Linked DNA regions of Danio rerio. The protein of the gene in region 2 interacts with the protein of the main gene of each other region in a biochemical or structural test. Links are inferred from orthologs where the notes say so. Each region holds a gene or a part of one and is shown on either strand. Other genes may lie near its edges.

Region 1 (10,406 bases), on a different chromosome or scaffold from region 2:
CAGCATCCCATTTCTCACAGGATGCGTTCTGTGATCTTCCGAGGGCGTTCTTCGTTTCATGCGACCAGCGTCTCTCTCAGCCATAAAATCTTTCTTTCTCTGGGGTGTGCGCGTTCTCGGGGCTGGGGCAGGACATATAATCAAACAGTGATGATGAACCAGTGATGTGTCTGGTGAACATGGGGTAACTGAGAATGTGATGATTGGCTTAGATAGAGTCCATTTCCATTGTTTGCCAATTATAGGTGGAATAGTACTGTTGTTCACCCACAATTGCTTGCACAGTCAGTCACACACACCAATGAACAATGGCAAATCCAGCAAGTTCAATGGTACCTTTTGCAAACTGGAAATATAAGCACTACTTTTCCCTCATTGAGGTAAAAAGCAAGAATGTTTATGTATCGTGCAACTTAAGCCCAGGAAAAAGAGTCTCTCTGCGTCAGTGACAAGTAATTCTAATCTAATGAAGCATGTCACATAGTCACATGCCACCACAAAATTAGTGGCTTAGAACGCAGGTGATAACGTGAGCTCTGCTGCTAAAAAAGAAGATGAAGCTTATAGATAAAGCAACTAAAACTTGATTTTTCTCCACCACAAACACTTACTACTCAGACAGAATTGAACAAAATAATGACCAATGTTTTATATTTATTTTATAGTCATTTGACAAATTAGATTTACTTTAAGTGACGCATTAGTTAATTTCCTTGGCAATTAGTTACTTTTATAATTATGTAACTCGGTTACTAACTCTTTCGATATTATTTGGTGAGTAACTAATAACTATAATTTCTCTTTTAAAGGAAAGTGTCCAACACTGGGTATGAGTTTATATATCAGCTTCAATAAGAGTTTAAACCCCAAAATATTTTATGATGACCTACTATGATTTTCTGCAAATAGTTGCTTTAAATGACCCTATTCTTATTTGAAATTTTGAAATCAAAATTTATCTATTAGTAATTTATTCATTAAAACACAAAATTAACACTGTACTCAAAACGCACACCTATAGGCCTACCCGGAATCTGCGCGTGCAGAATTCCGCAGATTTCTGCAGATTTTTAAAATTAATTACAGTAATATTATTGACTAATATGAAAATTATTTATGTACAGTACAGTTTGTACAGCAATATCTTTTACTAGATATATTATATGGCAAACATATTCCGTCTGGCTCTACCTATGGCACAGAACCAATAATAACTATGAAGTGCTCTGATTTTTTTTTTTGTCCAGAGCTGTATGTTTGCACATTTATATAGTCCTCACCAATACATCGAGCTCCATCTGGACTGGAATGGTAACCTCGACTGCACATGATGATCTTGCGCTGACAGGTATAGGAGCCCACAGTATTTATGCAGTTGAAGCCAGTCGTACATGGTTCTCTCACACTGCTGCATTCATCAATGTCTAAGAGAAAGTGAGAAAAATCGGCAAAATCAATGCAAATCAAGCAAAAAATGGCAACAATGCCTTAAGCAAAATCGATCTGGCTACAAGTCAAACCTATTGACGTCAAAGACCATGCTGTTTGCATGCAGCCAAAGAAGAACATACACTGACAATGTAAATTTGTTTAAAACTATAACCCAGATCAGGCAGTTTATATATTTTTTTTGGCAGGCAACAACTCTATCCACCATGCATTTGATCTTTAAAACCTTTCAGGCATTTTACATTCACAAACAGCTATATTAAACACAGCATGAAAGGTAATACTTCAAAAAAGCACGACAGGTGCACTATTTTAGAGTCAGTACTTTTAGAAATAAATATTTTATAAAGAGTATTTTCAAGCAAAATTGATTTGACTACATGACAATACGCATCTGTCCACTAGGGGGCACTAAGTGATTCTAAAGGTCTTTCTCACCAATGCAGTTGCCATGTGAGTCCTGAGTGAAGCCTGTGAGACAGCGTTGTTTCGGCTTACACGTGAATGAACCATCAGTATTCTGACACTGGAAGCCCATCCCACAGTTATGAGTTCGTATAACACACTCGTCGATGTCTAGAAGAGAAAGAGCACAGCAGATGTCAAAATGGGTCACTGGAGCGGACAGCCAGACGCCATCCAGTCGGGTTCCTGCACTGAGAGATTTGTTTAGCTTTTGAGACTGATGCTGTTATAGGTCCAAACAAATTAGGTTTCCCCTCTTAAGGCCTTCAGGAAAATCTGTAAATCTCACCAAATTTGGCAAGCATGTCAGCATAATGAATAGCCGAGCCCCATCTGAGGGCTTTGATTGAGGAGATGGGTTTGGACAGAGATCACAACCATCCTCAATTACAAGTTAAAACCTCACAGTAGGTGGCAGTGTGGCTCAATAACAGCTTCAAGACACTTTAAGACAGCTGATCAAGCCCCCAGTACCTCCATAGTCATCCTCATGCATGGTATCATAGAAAAAAACAAAACAAAAACAAATTTTTTGACTTTGCATTTCACAAGCTGCCTGTTAATGATACTGACACATGCAAGTGTTTTTACATGGATATAAGCGGCACTGAAAAGCTACAAACTGTTTAGATAAATCAGTCAGGTTTTAATCCTGTAACAAGAACTCTAATTTTTGAAATTTGACAAACCATAAGAATAATATCAGTGACTTAATTAGGAATCAAGAATGTGTGTGAATTGAGCCCGGCTGCGTCGGTTGGCTTTTCTTTGTTGAGTTTGCATGTTCTCCCCGTGTTCCAAGGGTTTCCTACGGGTGCTCCGGTTTCCCCCACAGTCTAAAGACACGCGGTATAGGGGAATTTAATAAGCTAAATTGGCCATAGTGTAAGTGTGTGAATGAGTGTGCATGGGTGGTTCCCAGTGTTGGGTTACGGTTGGAAGGGCATCTGCTGAGTAAAACATATGCGGGATCAGTTGGCGGTTCATTCCGCTGTGGCGACCCCATACATCCCTTTCCCATACATGACCCATTTCATCTTACTATTCAATGAACACAAACTTTTTAAATAAAGACGCAAACCCCTCACTGCATGTCAGCTGCACCTTCAGCAAACCTCCTAATACCTACAGCACGAGTTCTTTTATGATCATTTATGAACGTCAAAAGTTGTGAATAAAAATATTTCACTGTGTCACTAAATCCCAACAGACTAAAACGCTTTAGCCAAGCAATCTCCACCGTGCTGAGCGAAAGAGCTTCTCTTTCAGTTAAACTGAATATTCGCATCATCAGTGACGATAGCGTGCTCAGGTTTGGTAGGTAAAAAATGCAATCTGGGGGCAGACCGAGGGGGCGGGGGATAGGGGAGGGGGGCAATCGCACTCCGGCACGTTTCAGCACTTGTTGATCAATATATTATTAGGGGAGAACGGAGCACAAAGTAACACTTTTTGGTTATGACCAAAGAAGTAATCAGATTAGACAAACCATTTTTTTTTTTTACCAACAACACACAAGCCTTTCCTACAAATGAGCACTGGCTGTATGATCGCTGGACCTATGGTTCCTGTGCAGTATTGGCCAAAGTGCCAGGAGTAAAAATGTTACTATTTACCCCACCTGCGGGCAAGTTGTAACAGACAGAGGGTTAGTTGTAACACGTAGTTATAAAGTCAGATTTTACACAATTAATTTAAATTCAGTTTACGTTAGATAGTACATTTCCTCAGTATTTAACTCTTTATTCTACACAGCACAGCATGTGTATTTATTTATTTATTTATTTATCTATTTCTATAAACACATTTTGGGTTTATTTGCATTATTATCCATTATTACAATGAATTTATTTGCATTATTAGCAATGAAAAAATACTTTCTATTAAAATACATTTTTTAACATAAAAAGTTTACAATGTTACACTCAAAATTCCAATGTCCAACAGTGTGTCTTTTAGCCCTAAAGACAGTAACCAAAACAATATAAAATTTTACTTACATATTTTCAAAATCACAGATTTTTTTTTATATATATATATAAAAAAAATAAGAGTATAATAAAAATTATTTTATGCTGAAAAAAAATTCTGCTATGTTTTTCAGTAACTGGCATGAGAACATCTGCTGACATTGTGTTGAAATCCTCGGAAGTTTGCCATGGTTAACCCTGAGCAAACACCTTAAAACTCCATGTCACATTTTTCCTCACATTACTTTGTACCATACTCTCCCCTAATATGTGAATGTAGCCTTCATACACAATTTTTACGTCTGCCGGTGTGCTGTGACTTGGTAAATGTGGATGATAGATCAATTATTAGGCTGTGTAAAGGCTCAATATTATGATTTAAACGGCTTCACATGTTTGATTTGTCAACTAATTGCTTAATATGAACGATTACTAGTCGACCAGGAAAATCTTTAATCGAGGGCAGCGCAAGTCTTTCCAAATCCTACAGATGCAATGCAGCAACAGAGCATGAATTTTCAATGGCCCAAAGCCTGCAATTACTTAAAATCCACTATTCCCATTCCGTCACTTATTACAATAATTATCTCTTCAACTTATTATCATGCACCAGGCCAAGTCCTGACAAGAATCAGAGACTCTTGCAAAGTTTTTCTCTGTTCAAAGGCAACGGTTAGATGTATGTAGGCATCTGCTTTGTGTAAAAACAGAGTGCGGGATGCTTTAGATGTTAGCAAGCGAAAGCCCGAGGCGATCAGCTGTGGCCTCTTTCGAACTGCGAAAGCTTGCAAAATCTGCATTTTACTGTATGTTTTCTGGTTCTTCTCTGCAGCAGATGCAGATGATGTACTCACCATTCTCAGAGCCATAGAGCAGTGTGAGATAGAGGACTCTGACCAACATGGAGGACAGTTTGTTATTGATTCTGTCCATATGCATCGGCGAACAGCTCTGATAGTTGGGGATAGTTGGAGTGCTGCCATTTCTTTTGATGATTTGATCCCACATAAAAGCAAAGTTCATGTAAACATAACATTTAGCATTTTTCAATTAACAGAAAATGCTCTGTGTGCACTTTTAGTAAAATTAAAGCCTAATTGTGTAATTTTTAAAAAAGTTTTTTTTATATAATCAAATATACATAAGAGCTAAATATGAAATGGCACTGTAAAATAAGCCCTACAGTACATTTGGGTTCTAAACTTGCTTAATAAAAAATACTTCTCTGAGGAATATTTCCAGTACCTTGTTGAATCTATGCCATGAAGGATTAAGGCAGTTCTGAAGGCAAAAAAGGATCCAACCTGGTACTAGTAAGGTGAACCTAATAAAGTGGCCGGTAAGTGTACATGTGTGCATTTATTAATACTGTATCCCCAACTCACCTTCACATACTCCATTTCTCAGCTGGTAACCACTCGAACACAAGATCATCCTTTCGCACACAAATCCTCCAACTGAGTTCACGCAGCGCTCGTCTGCCCGACAGGTGTGTGTGTTCGTCACACACTCATTCACATCTGCAAAACACAAGCACAGCATTATCTTCCTAAACTCTAAAATAAAACATCCTCATCCTCGCACACAGCCTGAGACATAATGGACAGTTGCAACCACAAGATCCGGCAATGGAGAAGCTGAAGCTGGTCGTAAAGCAAGCAGGTGAGACAGAAGTGTGAAAAACAAAGAGAGGAGTTGTGTGTTTCTGTAAGCTGTGGCACATTTTGCTTCTCATTCTTTAGTGCCAGTGCTGTGGTGAACTGTCAAGATCTTCGGTTGGCCAGATATATTAAAGGCAATAACTCTGGACTATGTTGAAAAAAAAAAATGGCTAAACAAGATTGGAAAGCGAGCATGGCCCAGAGAGAGGAGAAAATAATTACTTGAAGCTTAGACAATGGCTGATTTACGGGCCAAGAAAAGGATTCAATCTGTCATGTTATTGCCACGGTAAATAATTTCAGGCGACCGAGTGGAAATGTTTGTGCTTTCTCCTGCATGGCCACATTAGGACAGAAGAGAAAAGAGCACATGTTACCTTATCTGTTCCACACAACAGCTGCTAACATCACAGAGTAGACAACGGATTTCAATTTTAGGAATTTTTTGTAGATGCTCAAACTTTTGGATAATACCAAACTTATTTCCAGAAGGAAAAATTTCAGAATCAAAAACTGTTGTCATGACAGTGACCAAAAGTGAGTCTTGTTTTTAGGCAGCAGCACATAATGATACTGCAAGTACAGAGCTGCGGTGTAGTGTAGAAGTCTAGCTAGCTATGTTTACATTATCAACACCGTCAACATTATCAAAAAAACTGAACAGACCACTGAAAAATTTGCAGTTTGCCTGGATTTACATTATTTTGTAGGTATAGGTCTGCATTTCTTCATTTAGAACAGGGGTGTCCAAACTCAGTCCTGGAAGGCTGTTGTCCTGCTGAGTTGTCGGCTATGCAATAGCCCCCCAAGTCACGGGTGTGTATTCACCAGGGTCAGCCCCCTGTCCGCCCCTGTCTTGTGAGAGGAGATTGCTGTCCTCCTGGCGAAGGATGCAATCGAGCCGCTCCCTCCAGCCGAGATGGAGAGCGGGTTTTACAGCCCACACTTCATCGTGCCCAAAAGAGCGGTGAGTCACGGCCAATCCTAGATCTGCACGTTTTGAACCGCTGTCTGCACAAGCTGCCGTTCAGAATGCTCACGCAGAAGTGCATCCTCCGGTGCGTTCATCCTCTGGGTTGGTCTGCAGCATTAGACCTGATGGACGCGTATTTCCATGTCTCCACTCTTCCTCGCCACCGTCAGTTTCTGCGGTTTGAAGGTCGAGCGTGGCAATACAAAGCCCTCCCCTTCAGGCTCTCTCTGTCTCCGCGGGTCCTCACCAAGCCAGCGGAGGGTGCCTTAGCGCCCCTTCGGCTTACGGGCATCCGCATACTCAGTTTTCTTAATGACTGGCTGATTTTTGCCTTCTCTCGGAGCAATTGATTATGCACAGAGACAAAGTGCTCCGGCACTTCCACCTGTTGGGGTTTTAGGTCAACCGAGAAAAGAGCAAACTCGCCCCCGTGCATAGGATCTCTTCTCTCGGGCTGGAGCTGGACTGCTGATGCTGTACTGTCTGAGAGAGCTCGACAGTAAAATAGTGGTCCCACTGAAACTATTTCAGAGGCTCCTGGGGCATATGGCATCCGCAGCCGCTTCAGGCTGCTCTGATTACTCTATATGAGACCACATCAGCACTGGCTTCACGATCGAGTCCCCAGATGCACATGGCACGCGCGCGCACACCGAGTCTCTGTTACTGCGCTGTGTCGCCGCGCCCTCAGCCCTTGGAGCGACCCCTCGTTCCTACAGGCCTGAGTGCCTCTAGGACAGGCGTCCAGTCTTGTTGTCGTTTCAACAGACGCTTCCAACACGGGCTGGGGGGCTGTGCGTTGCGGGCATGCGGCTGCGGATCTGGAAAGGTACCCAGTTGCATTGCCATATCGCCTGGAGCTGTTGGCAGTGTTCCTCGCTCTCCACCGTTTTTTTCCGGTGCTAGAGCGGCAACACTTGCTGGTCAGGACGGACAGTACGGCGGCGGCGGCATATATCAACCATATAGGGGGCACGCGCTCTCGCCGCATGTCTCAGCTCGCCCGCCGTCTGCTCCTCAGGAGTCATCCGCGGCTGAAATCTCTGCACGCCATTCATATTCAGGCAAGCTCAACCGTGCAGCCGATGCGCTTTTTTACGGCAGCCTTACGTCCTGGAGAATGGAGACTCCACCCCGAGTCTGTTCAGCTGATATGGGCGCGATTCGGGGAAGCCTAGATCAATCGGTTGCTTCCCCCGAGATCGCTCATTGCCAGTTGTTCTTTTCCCTGACCGAGTGCTCTCGGCACAGATGCACTGGCTAACAGCTGGCCTCGGGGCATGCGCAAATACGCGTTTCCCCCAGTGAGCCTGCTCGCGCAGTTACTGTGCAAGGTCAGGGAGGACGAGGAACAGGTTGCTGGTTGCGCCCCTCTGGCTCAACCGGACCTGGATGTCAGAGCTCTCCCTCCTCGCGATAGCCCTCCCCTGGCAGTTCCCTTCGAGAGAGCACCTACTCTCTCAGGGACAGGGCACCATCTGGCACCCTCGACAATCTTTAGAGGTCCTTAGACGCGAGGAAGACTTAGGTAACCTCCGACTGCGGTGGCTATTACCGTCACTCTGGCTAGAGCCCCCTTCCCGAGCGCGCCTATGCCCTGAAGTGGAGTCTATTCACTGAATGGTGTGTCTCTCGCAGAAAAGATCCCCATAATTTGCCAGATCAGCGTTGTGCTTTCTTTACGCCGAGAGAAGCTGGAGAGCAGGCTGTCGCCCTCCACACTCAAGGTTACATGGCTGCCATCTCCGCTCTCATGACGCGGTGGCTGGCACCACCGTGGGAATGCATAACCTCATCATCCGGTTCCTTAGGGGCGATAGGCGAACTAATCCTCCCCGCCCCCTCCCATGCCCTCTTAGGATCTCGCCCTCATTACACGAGCCGCGTCAGATCCCTTCGATCCTCGACTCAGTATCTTTCTGTCCCTGAAGACAGCTCTGCTGGTCGCGTTGATATCGATTAGAGGGTCGGGGACCCGGAGGCATTTTTTCAGTCAGTGACTTGTGCCTGTAATTGGGCTGGCTTTCTCTCACGTCCTGAGACCCCGCCCGCGATATGTGCCCAAGGTTCCTACCACTCCGTTTTAATACCAGGTAGTGAGCATGCAAGCGCTGCCCCCGGAGGAGGCAGACCCAGCCCTTTCTTCATTGTCCAGTTTGCGTCTTGCGTATTATCCGGACTGCACTCAGAGTTTAGATCATCTGAGCAGCTCTTCGTCTGTTATGGCGGTCGGCAGCAGGGAAGTGCCGTATTGAAATTAAGTTTTCCCACTGGATTGTGGATGCCATTCTCTCGCTTATCAGAGCCGAGGTGAGCCGCATCCCCCGAGACTGCGTGCGCACTCCCCTCGGATCTTCGCATCCTCTCGGGCGCGCGCATGCGCCGCCTCTTTAACAGACATCTGTAGAGCTGCGGGCTGGGCTACACCCAACACATTTGCAAGGTTTTACAATCTGCGAGTGGAGCCGGTTTTCTCAAGGGTATTAGGTAACCCTTTGGTGATTGAGGAAACAACTCGGTAGGGTGTTGAAACACGCTTGCTGCGGCATTCTCTCTAACACGGAGGTACGTGCGCCTTTTTATTTGTCAGTAAAGTTCCCCGTCAGGTGAGCCCTGCAGATTCCTCCGTGGCCCCCAGCACTGACTCAGCGGAGGAGTCACCTGCTGGCCCTTTACGTTGGAGGTCTGCCCGCTGGTCAGCCCGCGTTTTGGGTATAGGTGTCTGCTATGCGTGATCCCCACTAGGCGATCCCATCCATGCTTATTCCGCCACGGTTAAGTCCCCCCCCGGGTGGACCCGTGTCTTCCCTCCTCGCTAACCACTTTTTTCTATGCGTACTCCCCCTTCTTAGGGCTAGTCCATATGTAAATTCTGCCATCTATTCCCCCTTGGGTAGCGGATGGCCTTCGCAGCGTCCTCCCTATTGGGATTGCACGCTTCCCAACGTACTGTCGTATTTCGAATAGAATTATCTAGATGCTCACGACTTCCCAAAAAAATATATCTAAATCCGTAAGACTTCTGTTGAAGTAGGATAAATTAGGGCCAGGGACACGTTGGAGGACCGCGCCTCCCATGATGTGGGTGCTTGACTATCCCCTCATCGGGGGTGTTGGTAAGGTGCAGTCATTATGGCGCTTTCCATAGTTCTCCCATACGTGGATTTTCCCAAGATCAAATCCACTGTATAGCACTGAAGTTCCCCAATCGAAGGGGAATGTTCGAGGTTACAGAAGTAAGCCTTCGTTCCCTGAGACGGGGAACGGAAGTGCTATACTCCGTCGCCATAATGACTGTCCCTTAGCTGTTTGAAAGTCTCTTCAGCTTAAAAGGATGGCGTTTGCTCGCTCCAGGTGTGCTTATATGCTGGGATAATTGGCAATGAAGCACACCTGTGCAAGCTTACTCTGCCAATTCATTGCATTCATTGCCCCGTTCAATACTCTTTCAGACAAGCGGCTTCTGAACCGAAACCTCCCATACGCGGATTTTCCTAAGATCAAATCCACTGTATAGCACTTCCGTTCCCCTCCTCGGGAAATGAAGGGTTACTTCTGTAACCTGGAACATTTTGTAGCATAATATACAAAACTCACTTTTTAAAAACTTCTCAAGGTTAAAAGTTGTTGAAAGAACGATTAAGGACTTATAATGCAATTCAAATGCATAAATATACTGGGGAAAAAAAAAAAATTAATCACAAAATATGGAAAACTAATTTATGGATATTTTTTACCATGTAGATCAGTAATTTTGCAAATAAGTACTTCAGCTGCAACTTCACCATCTATTTATAGCATTGAAGAGTGATTCCTCAGATTCTAGAGAGCATTTAATTGAAAGAAAATGTGATGAGAGGCTGACATGCAGAGAGTGATGTCATCAGA
Region 2 (10,406 bases):
CTTTGCTGGCCCTGACTCTCTGATTGGTGGAATGTTTTGTGTAGAACTATGGGTAATGTAGTTTTAAATCAAAAATACTAGTTAATACTAATACTACTAATAAATTAAGATATATTCGTGCAAACCAGATCAAAAAAAGTATTTAATACCAATTTAAAATGCATTTCTCCATATGCTGGAAATAAAAAGGAGTTTAGACTATTTTAGACTAACCCATCTATTAAAATCAGTGGCAAAAGAATTATCATAAGCATCCTGGATATACAGTAATAACATACTCACACTGGATGTTAAGCACCACATGTGAATGCTCTGAGCCCACGTCATTAGTGGCTGTGCAGCGATACTGTCCTGAATCAGACTCGAACACTTGATCAATCCTCAAGATGTTTCCTCTTATTTCCACATGATCAGGAAGAGGAGCTCCGACTTTACTCCAGCGCACTGTGGGCTCGGGGTCACCAATGGCATGACACTCAAACTCCACAGAGTTTCCCACCATCACCGTCTGCACTGATGTACGCACGTTGATCTTCACTTTGGGAAGAGCTATGAAAACAAAAAGACTAAGTCAGAGGGATTTAAAGATAGGTAACTCGAGAAGCTAATTTTATTTTGGGTATCATAGAGGACCTTGAATGAGGAGTTTGGCGCTGTCCTGAGCATGTTCAAACTGACTTGTAACTCTGCAGGTGTAGATTCCCTCATTGCTTTGCTCAAGATTCTCAATTCTGCATGAATAATAACAAACATCATGATTAAAAACACACAGAAAATAATTCAAAGCTTTATATAACACAAATACTACACACTTTATTGTGAAATAAAATTAATAACGATATTGGAATAAACTTGGAATTGGAATAAAAATTAACATTTTTCCTCTGTTTGCCCTCTTTTATTCATTCATTCATTCATTCATTTATTCATTCATTTTTTTGTCGGCTTAGTCCCTTTAGACCTTGTTGCTGTGAGGCAACAGCACTACCTACTGCGCCACTTCTTCGCCCCTTGCCCTATTTTAACAGCATTAAAATCAACCATTACAAAATTTGTTTTAAAAAATGAATAAATATTTAATGAAGGGGTAAAAATGCATCTTTTTTAAGTAAAATAATGCCTTCACTGAATTGAATTTAATTAAGGAATGAATCAATAAGAAAACAATGACTTTAATGACTAAAAATACATTTTAAACAATAAATAAATATTTAATGCAATATAAAATAAATATGAATGTGTATTTATGTGAATTAATGACTTCAATTCAAATGTTTGGGGTCGGTTAAAACATTAAAAAAAAATTTTTTTTTTTAATATTTAAATATTTTTAACTTTTTTTTATTTATAATTATATTTAAGAGATTTTTAACATTTATTAGACAGGACAGTGGAGAGGGAGACAGATGGAAAGGGAATCAAACTCAACACATTTAATCACCAGGCTATTGGCGTCCACAACATTTTTACAGTTTTTATCAAATAAATTCATCTTATTACACACTGACAGTTTTGATGTTTTGTAGTCAGTCACCTGAGAATCCCGTCTTTAATGTGATGGTTTGGTGGCAGGACTCCTCCCTCCTTCAGCCACTCAATCTGTAGCCCTCCTTTAGCAGCGCAGGTGAACTCAACAGCACTGCCCAGAGCCTTCACCTCCACCTGAGGAGACACTTTCACTGACAGAGAAGCTGCAGAAAAGACAGGACAGAGCTCAAGATGAGGAAAAGTGAAAAAGTCTATAACCAGCCCAACATCTAGAATCAGCAAGACTTTTTTGTTCTATTCTAGTTAGAAAGGCTGGATTTGGTTTATCAAAAATACAGTAAAAAACAATCAAATACTGTCAAATATTATTACAATTTAAAACCACTGTATTATTGAACGCAGTTTCAGGTTTAATTTGTGATTTAATGTTAAATTTTCAGCATCAATTCTCAGTACTCTTGTCAATTGTCACATGACTTTTTAGAAATAATTATAATATGATGATCTGCTGCTCAAGAAATATTTATTAATACTACATGAATATTATTAGTATCAATGTTAATACATAAAAACTCCCATTCTAAATATACAGTTAAAATCAAAATTATTAGCCCCCCTTTGAACTTTATTTTCTTTTTTGAATATTTCCCAAATGATGTTTAACAGAGCAAGGAAATTTTCACAGTATGTCTGTTAATATTTTTTCTTGTGGAGAAAGTCTTATTTGCTTTATTTTGGCTAGAATAAAAGCAGTTTTTAATTTTTTAAAACAATTTTAAGGACAAAATTATAAGTCCCTTTAAGCTATATTAAACCATCGTTATACAAAAACTTGCCTAATTAGCCTAACCTGCCTAGTTAACCTAACTAACCTGGTTAAGCCTTTAAATGTCACTTTTTAGCTGTATAGAAGTGTCTTGAAAATATTTAGTCAAATATGATTTACTGTCATCATGGCAAAGATAAAAGAAATTTAGTTATTAAATGAGTTGTTAAAATTATTTTGTTTAGAAATGTGTTGAAGAAACCTTCTCTCCATTAAACAGAAATTGGGGGGGAAATAAATGGGGCCTAATTATTTGGGGGGGGGTTAATAATTCTGACTTCAACTGTATGTACTTGCATCCATGAAGGACACATTAACTGGTTCAATCGTGAGTAAATTAAAAACATTTTAAATGTTAATGCTGTTATCTTGAACTTTCTCTTCATCTAAGAATCCTAAATTGTCAAATTTACCAACATTACATGTTTTTCAACCAAAGACAACAAAGACCTTGAAAATGCAGCTTTAGATAAAGCACAGGAATAAATAATATTCAAAACTACATTTAGGAAAAAAAAAACTATTTTAAACTGCAATGATATTTCGCAATTTTACAGATTTGAGATCATTATTATTGATTGTTTTGATCATAATAAAGCAGCAAATAATCTTATTAGAATGATTTTTGAAGCATCATGTGACATCAAAGACACTGAAAATTCAGCATAAAGCACAGGAATAAATATTATTTTAAACTACATTCGATAAGAAAACTATTTTAAATATAATAATATTTTACAGCTTTTACCGTATTTTGATCAAACAAATACAGCCTTGAAGAGCAAAATATGCTTTCTTTAAAAACATTTAAGAATCTTACTGATCCCAAACCTTTGACCGGTACTATATCTGTAAGACTGGTGTGTTCACACGTACTGAAAGGAGCAATACTTACATCGGACAGAGACTTTGGCCAGTGCTTCGCTCTTGCCAACCTTATTGCTGGCCACACACCTGTATGTGCCCGCATCGTTTTCTTTGGCCAGGTTGATTTGCAGATCTCCTCCCTGCAGCTGGGCAGTAGAGGGCAGACTGCCGTTGATTTTAGTCCATTCATATCGCAGTGGTGGTGTGCCGTGGGCCAGGCACTGCAGCCGGATTACTTCACCCACGCGCACAGACACGTCATTAGGCAAGGAAGTGGCATAAGGTGGGGCTGCACAAACCAAACACACGTCAATTAGAGGATGTTGGATAATTACAGCTGGCTTTACAACAGCAGGAAAATATGCTCCACACTTGGAAAAATTTGCACAGCTGATCAAATGTTTTTAAGTAAAAATATCTGACCAAAACAAAATATAATCACACATAATTGCAAAATGCAACAGAGCCGACTCAGCTCACTCTGGGGGCAACAAAAATTACGTTGTACTCAATAGCACTCCAGAGCACAGTGTTTTATTTACAGTGCTGGCAGGTCTAAACAGTCTACAGTGAAGATTATTATATATATATATATATATATATATATATATATATATATATATATATATATATATATATATATATATATATATATATATATATATATATATATATATATATATATATATATATATACAGTTGAAGTCAGAATCATTATTTGTTCTGTAGACTATCGAAAAAAACAAACAGCTTAAAGGGGCTAATAATTTTGACCTTAAAATGGTGCTTAAAAAAAACTAAATAAATAATAAAGAAAAAAAAAAAAAGAAAAAAAAATATTAAAAAAAAAATATATATATATATATATATATATATATATATATATATCCACAATATACATAAAAGAGGGTTTGCTCGAACGTTCTCGTTGACTTGGTTAACAAACAAATATCTTGGGGTATGGTCACTGCTTTGATAGGCCAAACTCCCACCCTTTTTGTGACCTACTGTACCACTCTCGTAACACTTAAAACATAATTATCATTTAAACCACAATAATAATCTTCTCCAAAACACTTAAACACTTAATGCCAGTTCTTCTGACACCACTTGTCACACAGAGGAGTTGTTATGGTTAATTGTGGGAAGCAAGAAACAAATAAGAATTAAGGCTCAGCCGATATAGTACTATGGTGCAAAGGTTTGTTTATTTATAGTGCAAAGTGTCCAATTCAAAATTCCCAAAAATAGTCAAAATATATACAAAAATAAACAAACAACAAAACAAGAAATAAAGACAATAAAGTAAGAAGATATATTTGTACACAAAACTCGCTATCCAGACTCTCAATACTTCTACCAAACGTTATCCCACTTCTGACACCAACAGTGACAGAGCTCGAGCTCAGTTCTGGGTGGGAGTTAACACATTTTATTACAACTTACTATAATTATGCTAATCGTTTTATACTTCAATTACAAAAAAATAGTTTAACTTATTTTACGCTACTACATAACCTTGTTATCCCACAATTTTAAACTCAAAAATGGTACTATACCAGGAAGACAAGTAAATTATGCCAAATAAATCTCACTTTTTAGATTTATAGTAATAGTTTGTAGTCTAATCAAAATTCTTACATTTCTGAAATAACGAAATTCATTTCTGGAAGTTTGTGTTAACTAATGTACAAATATGTCACAAAAAGATAATTGTGTATACATTTAATTAGTTTAAAGACATTTTTTTTCTAGCAAATAATTTCAAAGTACTCACTGTCTACTTCCAGCATAATGGTGACTTCACTGGTGCCCAGATGGTTAGTGGCATTGCAGACGTACTGACCAGAGTCCTGACGGCCTACATTAGGCAAGATCAGGCTGTTGTCCACAATCTTGTGTCTCCAAGGAAGAGACGAGCGTTCTTTAAACCATGTGATGGTGGGTTTTGGGAATCCTGTAGTTAATATATAAGAGCTTTAGAACACGCTTTAAAATTAGACTAAGGTTTATTACTGGTACTTTTAAATGGATAGTTCACTCAAAAATTTAAATTGCCTCACCATTTATTTACACTCATTTGGTTCTAAAAATGTATGAATTTCTTTCTTCTGTTGTACACAAATTAAGACAGTTTGAAAAATGTTGGAAAATAGCAGCCACTGACATACATGATAGGAAAAAAATACTATGGAGGTATGTTTTTTCCAGCATTTTTGTGTTCTCAATGGATGAAAGAAACTCAAACAGGTTTGAAACAAGTAGAGGATGAGTAAAAACTGACAGAATGTTCATTTTTGGATGAGCTATCCCTTTAACCAAGGGCTTACAGTAGCACCTACCATGGGCATCACAATGCAGTGTGGCAGTTGATCCCTCTACCACTATTATCATGGGTTCACGGACACTGGCACGGGGAACAGTTGGCACCTGAGGGCCTCCTTCTACAAACACCTCCACTCGAGTCTCAGTTGTGCCCTGGTTATTCTGCGCTGAGCACACATATGTGCCACTATCCTCCGGTCGAGCAACCAACACCTACAGTGGAGATCATAATTACAGAACAGTCAGTTTTTTCAATGCTGAGGTAACTACTTAGTCCTATTTAAAATGATCCTTTACTAATAAAAGAGCAGTTTTTTACACACTTCATTAGTTACAAATATTATGAAGCACAGTAAGAAATTTGAAAAAAGGATGGTCATAAAAAACACTTTTAAATCCCTTTCAGTGGCTGTATCATTATACATAAACGCCAATTCAGCACTGAAGGTCTGATCTCAGCATACAGTATCCTGCTGTTTGAGAAACAGATTCAAAAAGGTTACTTTTCTTGCATATAAAGCCTAATCAGTCAGCAATGCTTATGCAGGTCAATGAGTGCCATTACAACATAGATGAAGGAGATGAAAACAATGAAATAATAAAATGGGAGCCCAAAGTCCTGATCTAAACCTTGTTAAAATGTCTGGAAATTCCTTGATGACAATGTTATGACTAAGAAAGCAACTTCAGTCAGTGATAGCAGGATGAGAGTGACTAGCTGACATCATTCAAAGCAAGCATTCAATTTCAGGAATTTAGTTTGCAAAACAGTGACGACGTACGAAACAGAAGTTTTAAAAGTCAATGGGGCAAAAAATGACGATGGCTTTAAAGGATAGTTTACCCAAATTTTTTTTACTTACACATCATTTACTAACCCTGTTGTTCCAAACCTTTGAGTTTCTTTCTTCTGTTGAACCCAAAAGAAGATGTTTTGAGCAAAGCTGGAAAGCTGTAACCACTTACTTCCATAGTAAGAAAAACAAATATTATGCAAATCAATAGTTACAGGTTTCGAGCTTTATTCAAAATATTTGCTTTTGTGAAAGAAAATCAGTTTGAAACAAAAAAGAGTGAAAAAATTATGACAGAATTTCCCTTTTTGGGTGAACTACCCCTTTAATTCTGTTCATGTTTTGTCCACAAATGAAGGATATTTGCTAAAGTACCTTGGTTATTTAATAAAATGGCGTTTTTCTAGCAAATACTGTTCTAGCAATACTACTATTTTACAATTTGTTTACTATTTATTGACTATTTACTAGCAATACTTAATTTTTTTTAACCAGGATGATCACATAATAAAAAAACAAACAAAAAAGGTGTTTTGAACTGCTCTCTAATTTTTCTCTTCACTGTAAACAAAGTATAAAACCTTTCTGATGAACATAAAGGCCAAACAATCAGGAAATCAACATCATCAATACAACAAATGATTCATAACCTGTATGATAGCACTGGAGTCAACAGGCACGGTGCTGCTCAGCATTGTCTTGCGATTGTTGTCCAGTCTGTGCCATCTGACTGAGGGTCTTGGCTCTCCAGCGGCCTGGCATTCAAGATTAATGGGATCACCGACCCTGACTCGCACTGGTCCTGCAGGGGTCACCACAGCCTTAGGAGATTCTACCAATGAAATAAGAAAAAAAAAGAGAGAGAAATGAGCATTATGCCTGAACAATGATAATAAATGTAAGGAAAATCTCAAGCAGAAATAGTATGTGCTAAGTGTGAAGGCAATAATACAATTCACAAAACCAGTTTTTCAAAAAATGTCGCATTTAATGTTGCTCTACCTCTCACAATGAGTGACACGATGCTATGAGTCATTCCGTACAAGTTGCTGGCCACACAGCGGTAGGTGCCTTGGTTTTTCGCCTGGGCATTTGTAACAGTCATGATTGAACTGTCAGGACCCACCTTTACATTATCTAAAGAAGAGAAGTTCATAAGGACATATCACATATGGAGATTTTGACATGTTCTAACACAGTGGTGGGCAAACCTTTCAGACCCGAGGGCCGCATCAAGTTTTGCAAACCAAGTAAAGGGCCACATGTCAAATCCTTCAAAACACAACTTTTATTTATAGTGGCAGTATGCATGGATCTTGTAATATCGGACAGAAACATGTCACATTAACAAAAAGCAGATTTTTTTATATATTATGATTTTTTTATATATTATATATTATATATTAAAAATGCGAGGTGCAGCAGCCGGTTAAAACGCGAGGCTTGCACTAAAGAGCTAAAATGTGCTTTCCACGTAAGTGGACACTCGAGCCCTTCTAAACCTTCTTCCAGAGGGCAACAGAACAAAATTGTGTACAGTACCTGGCAGAGGCAGGTTATTGGTGAGTTTCCACTCCAGTCGCACTGGCTGGGCTCCGTTGTGAACCTTGCACCTGAAGCTCGCCGATTCGCCCTGCTTCACCACTGCACTATGCGGCTCAATGGAGATAATGGGAGTCTGGAGGCCTACTCCAAAATCAAACCACAAAATACACTGAGCACACACTGACTATGCTGACAATGTGTATGTTGTAAACAAATGTTAGTTAAGTGTTTTGCTTCAAATTGTAGCACATTTTAAAGGAATAGTTCATCTAAACTGGAAAATACTGCATTCGTTTACTCACCCTTCATTTGTTACAAACCTGTTTGAGTTTCTTTCTTCTGTTAAACACAAAAGTTATGAGGGTGACATGGTGGCTCAGTAATTAGCCCTGTTGCCTCACAGCAATTAGGGTGCGGTTTCGAGTACCAGCTGGGTCAATTGCCATTTCTGTGTGAAGTTTGCATGTTCTCCCTGTGTTTGCGTGGGTTTCCTACTGGTGCTCCGGTTTCCCCCACAGTCCAAAGACATGTGCTATAGGTGAATCAGGTAAACTAAATTGGCCGTAGTGTGAGTGAATCAGAGTAAATGGGTGTTTCCCAGTACTGGGTTGCAGCTTTAAGGGCATCCACTGTGTAAAACATATGCTGGGTAAGTTGGCGGTTCATTCCGCTGTGGCGACCACTGATGAATAAAGGGACTAAGCCGAAGGAAAATAAATGAAAGAATGAATGAAACCAGTGACCAATGACATAGAGTACTACCGGACCGTGACATTTTTTATACTATGGATGTCAATGGTTACCAGTTTACAACATTCTTCAAAATATCTTCTTTTGTGTTCATGAGAAAAAAAGAATCACATAAAGGTTTAAAACAACTTGAGGAAGAGGACATAGTCAGAAAATATATATGTATTTTTTGGGGTGAACTATTCCTTTAAGATATGGTCTGTTGCAACAATATAACAATAACATATAATTGTTGATTTAATTTCACTATTTACATTTTTTATATATTTTCTGCTCTTTTCGTCTAGATTTTTTGTATGTTTCATTTGAATGGACAGAATCAATTATATAAAGCACTAAATATCACTGTACTTTAGTCCAATTCAAATGAAACTATTCTATTCTATTTTATTCTATTCTATTCTATTCTATTCTATTCTATTCTATTCTATTCTATTCTATTCTATTCTATTCTATTCTATTATATTCTATTCTATTCCATTCTATTCTGTAGTGGTCTCATAAAGGTAAAACTAAATTTCAGGAACGTCTTAAAGAAGAAGAAGTTCTTTATTTAGTTATTAGCCATAGTTTCATCTAAAGTAGAATTTTACCATGAAATACTGGAAACTGCATCAATAATTTGCGAACAAAGCACCACAAATAATGAGCTTAAAAAACAGCTTTCATTTTGACATATTGCAAGAAAACCTAAAACATGAGTGTGTATGACATCAAACATGATCAAACATGTATGACAGATGTTGACACTTTTCATCAGTTAAAGGGACTTACGGGAGGCGCTGGACGTCACAGAGACAGACACAGTGGCCTTTTGTGGAGATGGGCCGTTCTCCACTGTACAGATATAATCTCCAGTGTCATCAGCAGAGGCCCGCAGGATCCGCAGCCGAGTCTCCAAAACCTGGAGTCAAACACACAAACACAAGCAAACCAACGATTCATTAAACACTCTAATCGGAAAACCTATTACAAAGATCCTTATTACCACGAAAAAAACAGGCACACAAAAACAGACCTCTTCTTAAAGGAAACATAATTTTTTTTTTTTTAAATAGGCTCATTTTACAATTTCCATACAGTTAAAAAATTGAGTTTTACTCATTTTTGTAATCCATTCAGCTGATCTCTGGGTCTGGCAAAATCACTTTTAGCTTAGCTTAGCATAATCCATTGAATCGGATTAGACCATTAGCATCTTGCTTAAAAAAAAAAAAGGAGCTTCAATAAGTTTTCTATTTAAAGCTTGACTTTTCTGTAATTACATTGCTTAATAAGAATGATATAAAAATGTTAGTTTTCTAGATCGATAAGGCTAAGAATTTACCGCTCATTCTAAAGTATCTGTAATCAAGGAGGTGGAATAATATTATGCAGCTATATTGAAAGAAAATAGCAAACAAATGTGCCTATTTCCAAAAAAAAGTGGAGCGTTCCTTTAAAATGCTTACTTAGGACTTTACTTTTTAGTATGTGATCACTTTAAGCAAATTTTCCAAATATTTGCTGCTTTGTTACATCATATAAAAACTGTGAGGCAATGCAATTTGTATTTTTTTAAACGGCTGTGTTACACTTAAAAAAAAAAGAGCAGGTAGACGTAGATGTTTAAAAAAAAGTGTTATCATTAGGTAATTTCTAGATAAACAAGAGAATGACAACATACAGTATTGTGTGCACGTGGTTTTCTTCAAAAGCAAAGTCCTATAAATGTACTATCCTTTAGTTAAATGTTTTGGTGACTTCCAGGGCCACGTAACCCTGTAAAGCTTTGTCAGATTATACTATATACTATAATTTTAGAGGTTATA

Evidence for each region. The genes of interacting proteins can lie anywhere in the genome.
Region 1: the proteins of hspg2 (region 2) and fbln2 form a complex in vitro, tested with the Homo sapiens proteins (2 studies listed by BioGRID). The link is inferred for Danio rerio from reciprocal best matches to the Homo sapiens genes HSPG2 and FBLN2.

Annotation. Positions count from the first base shown.
Region 1 is NC_133186.1:29,446,706-29,457,111, reverse strand, and holds part of fbln2 (fibulin-2), read right to left. Parts: intron 5,405-10,406; coding exon 5,270-5,404; intron 2,026-5,269; coding exon 1,888-2,025; intron 1,425-1,887; coding exon 1,281-1,424; intron 1-1,280. UniProt on the Homo sapiens protein: Its binding to fibronectin and some other ligands is calcium dependent. May act as an adapter that mediates the interaction between FBN1 and ELN.
Region 2 is NC_133198.1:29,484,654-29,495,059, forward strand, and holds part of hspg2 (basement membrane-specific heparan sulfate proteoglycan core protein), read right to left. Parts: intron 9,500-10,406; coding exon 9,370-9,499; intron 7,990-9,369; coding exon 7,843-7,989; intron 7,438-7,842; coding exon 7,303-7,437; intron 7,133-7,302; coding exon 6,951-7,132; intron 5,720-6,950; coding exon 5,524-5,719; intron 5,139-5,523; coding exon 4,959-5,138; intron 3,471-4,958; coding exon 3,210-3,470; intron 1,692-3,209; coding exon 1,535-1,691; intron 732-1,534; coding exon 634-731; intron 550-633; coding exon 283-549; intron 1-282. UniProt on the Homo sapiens protein: Integral component of basement membranes. Component of the glomerular basement membrane (GBM), responsible for the fixed negative electrostatic membrane charge, and which provides a barrier which is both size- and charge-selective.